Linked DNA regions of Sus scrofa. The protein of the gene in region 1 purifies or fractionates together with the protein of each later gene. This does not show direct contact. Links are inferred from orthologs where the notes say so. Each region holds a gene or a part of one and is shown on either strand. Other genes may lie near its edges.

Evidence for each region.
Region 2: the proteins of CDC42BPB (region 1) and FAM167A purify together in Homo sapiens (co-immunoprecipitation; 3 studies listed by BioGRID and IntAct, counting the BioPlex papers as one, with this or other methods). This does not show direct contact. The link is inferred for Sus scrofa from reciprocal best matches to the Homo sapiens genes CDC42BPB and FAM167A.

Annotation. Positions count from the first base shown.
Region 1 is NW_018084979.1:1,675,342-1,679,143, forward strand, and holds part of CDC42BPB (serine/threonine-protein kinase MRCK beta), read right to left. Parts: intron 2,613-3,802; coding exon 2,368-2,612; intron 2,293-2,367; coding exon 2,187-2,292; intron 1,561-2,186; coding exon 1,436-1,560; intron 1,226-1,435; coding exon 1,120-1,225; intron 1-1,119. UniProt on the Homo sapiens protein: Serine/threonine-protein kinase which is an important downstream effector of CDC42 and plays a role in the regulation of cytoskeleton reorganization and cell migration. Regulates actin cytoskeletal reorganization via phosphorylation of PPP1R12C and MYL9/MLC2.
Region 2 is NC_010456.5:14,664,861-14,668,762, reverse strand, and holds the start of FAM167A (protein FAM167A), read left to right. Parts: upstream 1-1,268; 5' UTR 1,269-1,602; intron 1,603-3,902.

The DNA.
Region 1 (3,802 bases):
ACATTTACGTCTTGTTTACAAGGATGAGACCACTCATCGCCGATCGTGTGGTCTCTCTATGGTTCTACCGGACTCTGCAGTGACGCTGTCTCTCGGGGTCGCAGTGACCTCGTTTTCCGTTATCTTGAAAGCCTGCTATTTCCTCATCCTGATAGTCGGGTCGTCACTACCTATGATGCAAGACTAAGACAGTAAGAGCAAGGGAGAATGCGACGACCGAGAAGGACGAGGCAACAGTGAAGCAAACCAGCCCTCTTCTTGCCTCGCGTAGTTCATCGACTATCGAGAGCACACAGGAGGGAGCTCCTGTCGTGGCGCAGTGGGTTATGAACTCGACTAGGGTCCACGAGGATGAGGGTTTGATCCCTGGCCTCGCTCAGTGGGCGAAGGATCCAGTGTTGCCCTGAGCTGTGGTGCAGGTCGCAGATGTGGCTCGGATCTGACCTTGCTGTGGCTGTGGCGTAGGCCGGTGGCTACGGCTCTGATTTGACCCCTAGCCTGGGAACTTCCATGCGCTGCAGGTGCGGCCCTAGAAAGCAAGGAAAAAAAAAAAAAGAGGATTACACAGGAAATCTGGAGAGATCACCTTGGTAAACTTTTCCTTAGGCTTTCACTGAATTCAGTGGAGAATTTTTCATGTCTCCTCCATAACAGGGAAGAGAGCGACTGACGGAGGAAGGCGTCTCGGGCTCGGGGGACAACCAGAGGAGGACGTGGAGCAGCAGAGCTGGGCCCCACCTAGCGATGCTGCAAGACTGACCAAAGGAGAGGGGGCTCCGGGGGTCCTCGGCGACACCCCGGCACTCGCCACCCTGGGCGCCCCGAATCACAGATTGCTGAACGGACGGGCGGGTCATTTCATTAACACAGCGAAACCTCCTTAGTCCCGCTGCTCTAAGGCTTCTCCCCAGAGCCTGGGACTCAATGGGGCCTTGCTAAATAAATGATGGCATCAAAGAAACCTGTGGCTCTGGACCCACAAGGTGCTGGGGTCCTCGAACGGGGTGACCCCCTGGGGCGAGGAAGCCTCGCCTCCCTGGAGCACCTGCCTCGCCCACATCAAAGTGGAGCCAGGGATGGCGCCACGCAGCACAAACTCGGTTTCAGCAGCGGACCTACCAGTGTCCTCGACCCCAGGCTGGAGCTCCTCAGCGCCTCCAGCTCCTCAGTCATCTTAGAAGCGAGGGCCTGAAGGTAGCCCCGGGCATCCTTCTCGTCGCTGACCCTGCGGGAGGAACACCCTCCCGTGAGCGCGAGGCGCCTGGGCGTCCCGCCCCGGGACCGACTGCACAGCGCCGTCACCCCATCGCCTGTGACAAGCCGGCGCCGTGTGGGCGAAGGCCAGCCCTGGCCCCGACCCACGCCCTCAGTCCAACGTGACGCTCCTGGACAGGGCTGCTGCCCCAGACGTCACGCATCCGCGGCGCACACGCACCACTGAATGATCTCTGCGATCTGGGCTTCCCAGTGGGCAACCGACTCCTTCTTGGCCGCCAGATCCTGCAGCTCGTCCTCCAACTGCCTATTTTGAGCTGTGAGCTTATCCACAAAGGCACAAAGCTGAAATCAAACAATTGCGGCACGTGACTCATTATCTGGCATCCTTCATACACGAGATGTTACCATTATCAAAACTACAAGCTTTTTCTGAATACCTGAAACATTTTTAAAAAATTATTATGAGATTTTTCCAAACTAAGTTTCCAACGTGAACTTTCTGATCACATCTAACTTAAGTCGCATTTCAATACAAGAGCGAGGAGTTCCCATCACGGCGCGGCAGAAACAAATCCCACTAGGCACCATGAGGCTGCAGGTTCGATCCCTGGCCTCGATCAGCGGGTCAAGGGTCTGGCGTTGCCGTGAGCTGTGGTGTAGGTCACAGACACAGCCTGGATCTGGCGTTGCTGTGGCTGTGGTGTCGGCTGGCAGCTACAGCTCCAATTGGACCCCTGGCCTGGGAACCTCCATGTGCCACGGGTACAGCCCTAAAGACAAAAAGACACACACGCACATACAAAAAACAAGAGTGAGTGGTTTCAGATAGTTAGCATAACCCAATGGAAACACCCCACTTAAAAGATCAAACATGTTTCATTTAAAAATTAGAGTGTTGAAAACACGAAACTTCTAAGACTCAAGAATGAAAAAAACCGCTCAGCGGCGGTTCAGATCCCTCGAGTTACCTTCTCGTTCTCAGCAGTTAACTTCTTGTTCTCCTCGGACAGCACGGCCCTCTCGCGTTCGTATTTGTCCTTGACTGTGCCCACGGCCTCCTCCAGCTCACTGTGCCTGGGAAGCAGAGGGCACAGGCTCAGGAGCCCGGCCCGGCCGGCGCCCTCCGGGCCCCGCGCTGTGCGGACTTACCGCTCCCGCTTGGACTTCTCCAGCTTGTCCTTCAGCACCAGCACCTCCTTCTGCAGGGCCAGCTGGTGGCCCTCGGAGTCGTGCACCTCCTTCTTCACGGTCTTCAGCTCCAGCACATGGGAGGCCTCCCGCCTGACCAACTCCTCCTCGTAAAACAGGACTTTCTTCTCGAGCTCAGACTTTATCCTGGAAATCTCCTGCTGGTGCTCCAAGGCGGCGCCTGGCCCCCGGCCTCCTTGCTTCATCTGCAGACAGGGGTCGGGGTTAAGTGCACACCTCCGTGCCCGCCCCGAGGGCCGAGGGTCACCCACCACCTGGCTGCATGCGGGCTCTTGCCAGCACGGCTCCTTGTGCCCCCGCCCCACGCAGGACAGGCGCCATGCCAAGGCCGCAGCTGCCTCCGTCTCACGCTCTGGTACCAACGGTCCGCGGGGTCCCCTTGGGCTGTTGACCCGTTCGGCCAAGAGGGACCTTCCCAGGGCTGAGAGGCAGGCCCTCCGGAAAGGGTTACGGGCAGTTAGGGGCGCCGCTGAGGCGGTGGCACAGGAGGTGAGCTGGCGCCAGGAAGGGCTTCAGCGCAGGGAGGGGAGGGGGGTCAGGGGGCCGCAAGGGCAGAGGCACTAGGTGGGCGTCAGGGGGGAGAACTGGTCAGGGAGATGGGGTGAGGCCAGCGAGGAGGAAGGGCCACCAGGTAAGGAGGCTGCTGTCACTGGAGGGCGGCAGGGAGCCATCCGGGCCCCGTGGACACGCTGGGCTGACTGGGGTTTAACAAGCCGCGGGGAGAAGGGCACTGCAGAGGGCAGAGCCCGACAGGGGGCTCAGTCACAGGGCAGCCAGTCCGGCAAAGGCTGCCGCGGTGGAAGCAGAGCTGAAGAACACAAACAGGGGCCTCGGGTGTGAGCTGGGGGATGGGCCAGGTGCAGGGCTCGGGGGGGGGGGGGGAGAAGACCCACTGTCTCCACCGCACGGATGAGGACCCGAGGCCCAGAGAGCGGCCCCCGTATCTGACGTCTTGCAGGGAACAAGGAGCCCCCCCCCTGCCCACCCCCCCACCCCCTGCGGCCCCAGACGACCAGGCTGGACATGGGCTGTGAGGAGCTTTTCCAGAAATGGACTCCACTGAATGCAGAAGCCCCAGCTGCAGAGAAAGCATTCGGTGTCAGCTGACCAGGACTTGCCTCAGGCTGCCTGAGACACTCATCCGGGGAAAGACCTCAAAGAACCTGTTTTCTTTTTTTCTGTTTTGTCTTTTTAGGGCCACACCTGCAGTACATGGAGGTTCCCAGGCTAGGGGCTGAATTGGAGCTGTGGCTGCGACCTACACCACAGCTCACGGCAACGCTGGATCCTTAACCCACTGAGCAAGGCCAGGATCGAACCCGCGTCCTCATGAACACTAGTCGGGTTCATTACTGCTGAGCCATGACGGGAACTT
Region 2 (3,902 bases), on another chromosome or scaffold:
CCAGGAAAAGGCACTCCCCAGCCCTCCCCTCTCCCCCCAACTGGAGTCTCCTGTCCACAGTCAGGACCCATCCTAAAGTCCAGGATGGGGCAGCACTGGCCACTGTCTGGAATGTATCTTAGGTGCCTGGAGCTCCAGGCTCTGGTGGAACAGGGACAACTATCTCTATGGGTTGACACAGCACACAGTATTCTGTGCCACCAGGCAAGCTGTGGTTAGTGGGGCGAGCACATGCTCTGGGGCCGGGCAACCCCCCCAACCCCCTACCTCCCAGCTGGTCTGGGAGACAGATCTGGAAAAACATTTCTTTCTTTCTTTTTATTAGGGCCATGACCTGGGCCGTGTGGAAGTTCCCAGGCTAGGAGTGAAGCTGCCAGCCTACACCACAGCCACAGCAATATGGGATCCAAGCCGAGACTGTGACCTACACCACAGCTCACAAAAATTCTGGATCATTAACCCACTGAGAGGGGCCAGGGATCGAACCCCCATCCTCATGGATACTAGTAGGATTCGTTTCCCCTGTGCCACAACTGGAACTCCAGAACATCTATTTCTTTTCTTTCTTCTTTTTTTTTTTTTTTTTTTTTTTTTTTTGCTGTTTAGGGCTGCACCCACTGCATATGGAGGCTCCCAGGCTAGGAACCGGCCTATGCCACAGCCACAGCAAAGCGGGACCTGAGCCTCGCCTGCGACCTACCCCCACAGCTCACAGCAACGCTGGATTCTTAACCCACCGAGCGAGGCCGGGGATCGAACCCTAAACCTCATGGTTCCTAGTCGGATTCGTTTCCGCTGAGCCATGACGGGAACTCCCAGAGCATCTATTTCTACTTAGTCTCTCTGAGCCTCAGTTTCCTCATCTGTAAACTGGGGACACCCACATCTGCCCTGCGAAGTCGCTGTGATGGTGGGGCCCTCAGTAGGAGCTTTGCTGCTGGTAGTAGGAACTTAAGCTGCTGGTGGGTGGAATGAAGGCGCTGGGCCTGCCGACGCGGCTGGAAGGGGGTTCTCCTGCCCGCTCCCCGCAGGCAAACTGCTGACGGTGGCAAAGCCACGTTGCCACTCTTGGGTGAAAACTGCCTTGGTTTCTTGGTTCTTGGTTTTTTTTTTTTTTTTTTTTTTAAGTCTATTTGGGTTTGGTTTCATCTAGGGTTTGGCCATCGCGTGTGGTTTGCTTCTACTTGAGGCGGGGCGGCGGCTGGCGCGCAGGTCCTGGCCAGGAACAAACAGCTAGAAGGGCTTTAGGACCCGGGGCGTGTCTCGCGGCCCCGGCGCGTCCCTGGTCCCCGGAGCTGCGGGCGGGGAGACTTGAATGAGAGGCAGGAGGGGATAGCGACTCAAAGGGCTAGCGGTGGAATAGCTCCGCCGTCGCCAGGCAACCGCCCTGACGCAACGCAAAAAAAAAAAAAAAAAAAGTCCCTTAAAAAAAAGAATAGTGCTGAGAATTCACAGGAACAAGAGCAAGAGAGAAAGGGAGGCAGAATACGGCTCAGCCCTGAAGCCGGGGCCAGAGGAGGCTGCGGAGCGGGAGCCCGCGTCGAAAGGAGGAAGCGGGGATCTCGGTGACACCCCTAGAAGGGGCCTCTGAGCACCAGGAAGGTGGGTTTGCAGCAGAGCTGGGACAATCCCAGGTCTGGGGACCGGGCTGGGGGTGATGTGTCTGTGGCCGTGGCACCATCACAGGTGGGGGCTGGGGTGCCACAGGTCCCTAGAGCTGGCAGCGGTGGAGAGCAGCCCAGCCCTGGGCTGGGGGCGCACCACCCCAATGAGCCCTGGATTGGACATCTTGCACCCGCCCGCACTCCTGCCCTGCCTCACCCTCTCCTGGGGGCTGGCTCCTCTCAGGGGGTTAGGACAGCCTGGCTGGAGTCCATCTCCGGTCCTGGCTAAGGGATAAAATCTGGGTAGAGATTTGGGGTTTGATGTCTGAAAGGGAGGAACCCCACTCGGTTTCTCTCCAAGCCCACCTCGTCCCCTCTGTCCACTTTAGGCTCAGTGATGTGGTTGTCTCTGCCCCAAGGATGCAACCCCTAACTCAGGAGAAGTGCCGGGAAGGGCTGAGGCCAGTGTGGTCAAAGGGAACTGCCCAGCGGGAAGGGCCCTGAGGAAAGAGCAGGACAGCTTTGTGGTTGGGCACCCAGGTCACTAGGAGAAGGCGGGAAGGTCTGCAGCCCGAGGCAAAGGGACAGGTGTCTCCATGCCCCAATCAGGTTGAGAGTTCTGCTTTGAAAAAAATTCCCTATTGCCTTTATATGTTTTCATCCCTTTTTCCTGCTGAGATCTGGAAGCTGCTTAGTTCCAGGACCAGGGGCCACCACCAGTCTTAAACTCACAGGCGTGTTCTCCCAGATTAAGTTCCCACCAGCTCCCTGCTGCCATTCCTGGTGAATCCCATAGGGCAATCCTCCCAGCGCCCAAGGGAGGCGTGGCTCTAAAGCAGCTTCCTTTCCTTTGCCCTGGAGACCGCCCCGCCCTGCCCCGCCCCCACCCGGCAGGGGATGGAGAGTGGAGAGCTGGGCAGAGTCCTGGGAGGGCAGGGGGGCCGTGGCGCCTCCAGCCCACATCCACAGGATGGGAGCTTCCGCTAGCGTGTGTATAAGGCACTTGGCAAAGCAGCCACAAGCTGCACTCCAAGTGTGTGAGAATGACAGCTCTTCCTCCCTGACTGTGTTTACCGATCAGGCACTGCTTGAGAGCCTTTCACACCCACTGGTCATTTTATCCTCACAATCAATTGCCCTTTGAGGGGACATTATGCCCCCCATTTTGCCAGTGGCTCTCCAAGAGATTCAGTAACGCGGTGCAGCTCATGGGGCTGGTGAAAGAGCTGAGAGATTCAGCTCCACGTGCCTGACTCATAAGACAGTGGTCTCAAAGGGGGGCTGCTTTTGGAGATCCAAGCCAGGAGGCCTGGGGGTAGGGGAGAAACCAGTCAGACCCAGAGGAAAAGAGGCTTGTGTGGCAGAGCTTGTCCTGTGACCTGGGAATGTCCCTTGCCATCTCGAGGGCCCTGTGGAGCCAGAAAGCAGCCAGGCTCCCCTGAAGCCGAGAGAAGGGTCCCCCCCTCGCCCCCTTTTCCTCCCTGCCTGCCCAAAGACCCCAACTTCTCATGCACTGGCTCCTGTTTTGTCCTCCCCAATTACATGCGTGGATTTCCACTGAATTAACAGTCCCGCCTCCCTATCTACAGGCTTGGCATCCTTCCAGGAGGGATGCTGGCAGGGAAGTAAATTGAAGCAGTGCCTCACTATGGCTGAGAGAGAGAGAGAGCCACTGAGCCCCAGGCCAACCAACAAGAAACTGCTTGTTAGGCTTCTCACACAGGCAGGCAGCTTTCTCTAGGTAAATTTTGCTGGTGGAAAACTCCCTTGGTGTGCCATAGGAGCGTCTGGAATTCCCAGAAGCCTCTAGGAGCAGTGCTCTCTCTCTGGAAAGGGCTCTTTGCTTGCCTGGGATGGAGAGTTGTTTGCAAAGGTGGATGATGAATGATCATTGGAGCTATTTGCTCCCAGCTGACAGAGTAGGGGGTGGGGGAGTTCTCACTCATAGGAAATCCTTTAGGATTTACTGGGAAGGCTCAATATGCACATGTACGCTGGGATTTGGATTGGGGTGAGAAGAAAGGAAGGAAAAAGGCAAATTCTGATGCAGACCTCAAAGGGGGTGAGCAGGGGTTAAACGAGAGTGGTGGGCATGAGGACCCGGAAGGAGGAGGACCCAGGAAGTGGGCCAGGGGTTTAGAAGGAACTCTACCTTCGGTCTGTAGAGTTTGAGCTGCTCCAGAGAGTCAAGTTGTCAACATGAGTTAGGAAGACTGCAGGTGTCAGCTCTTGCATGGTCATGTGTGAAAGCCCAGGGCCTCCCTACTCTCCCCCCAAGCCCCTCCACACTTGTCTTTG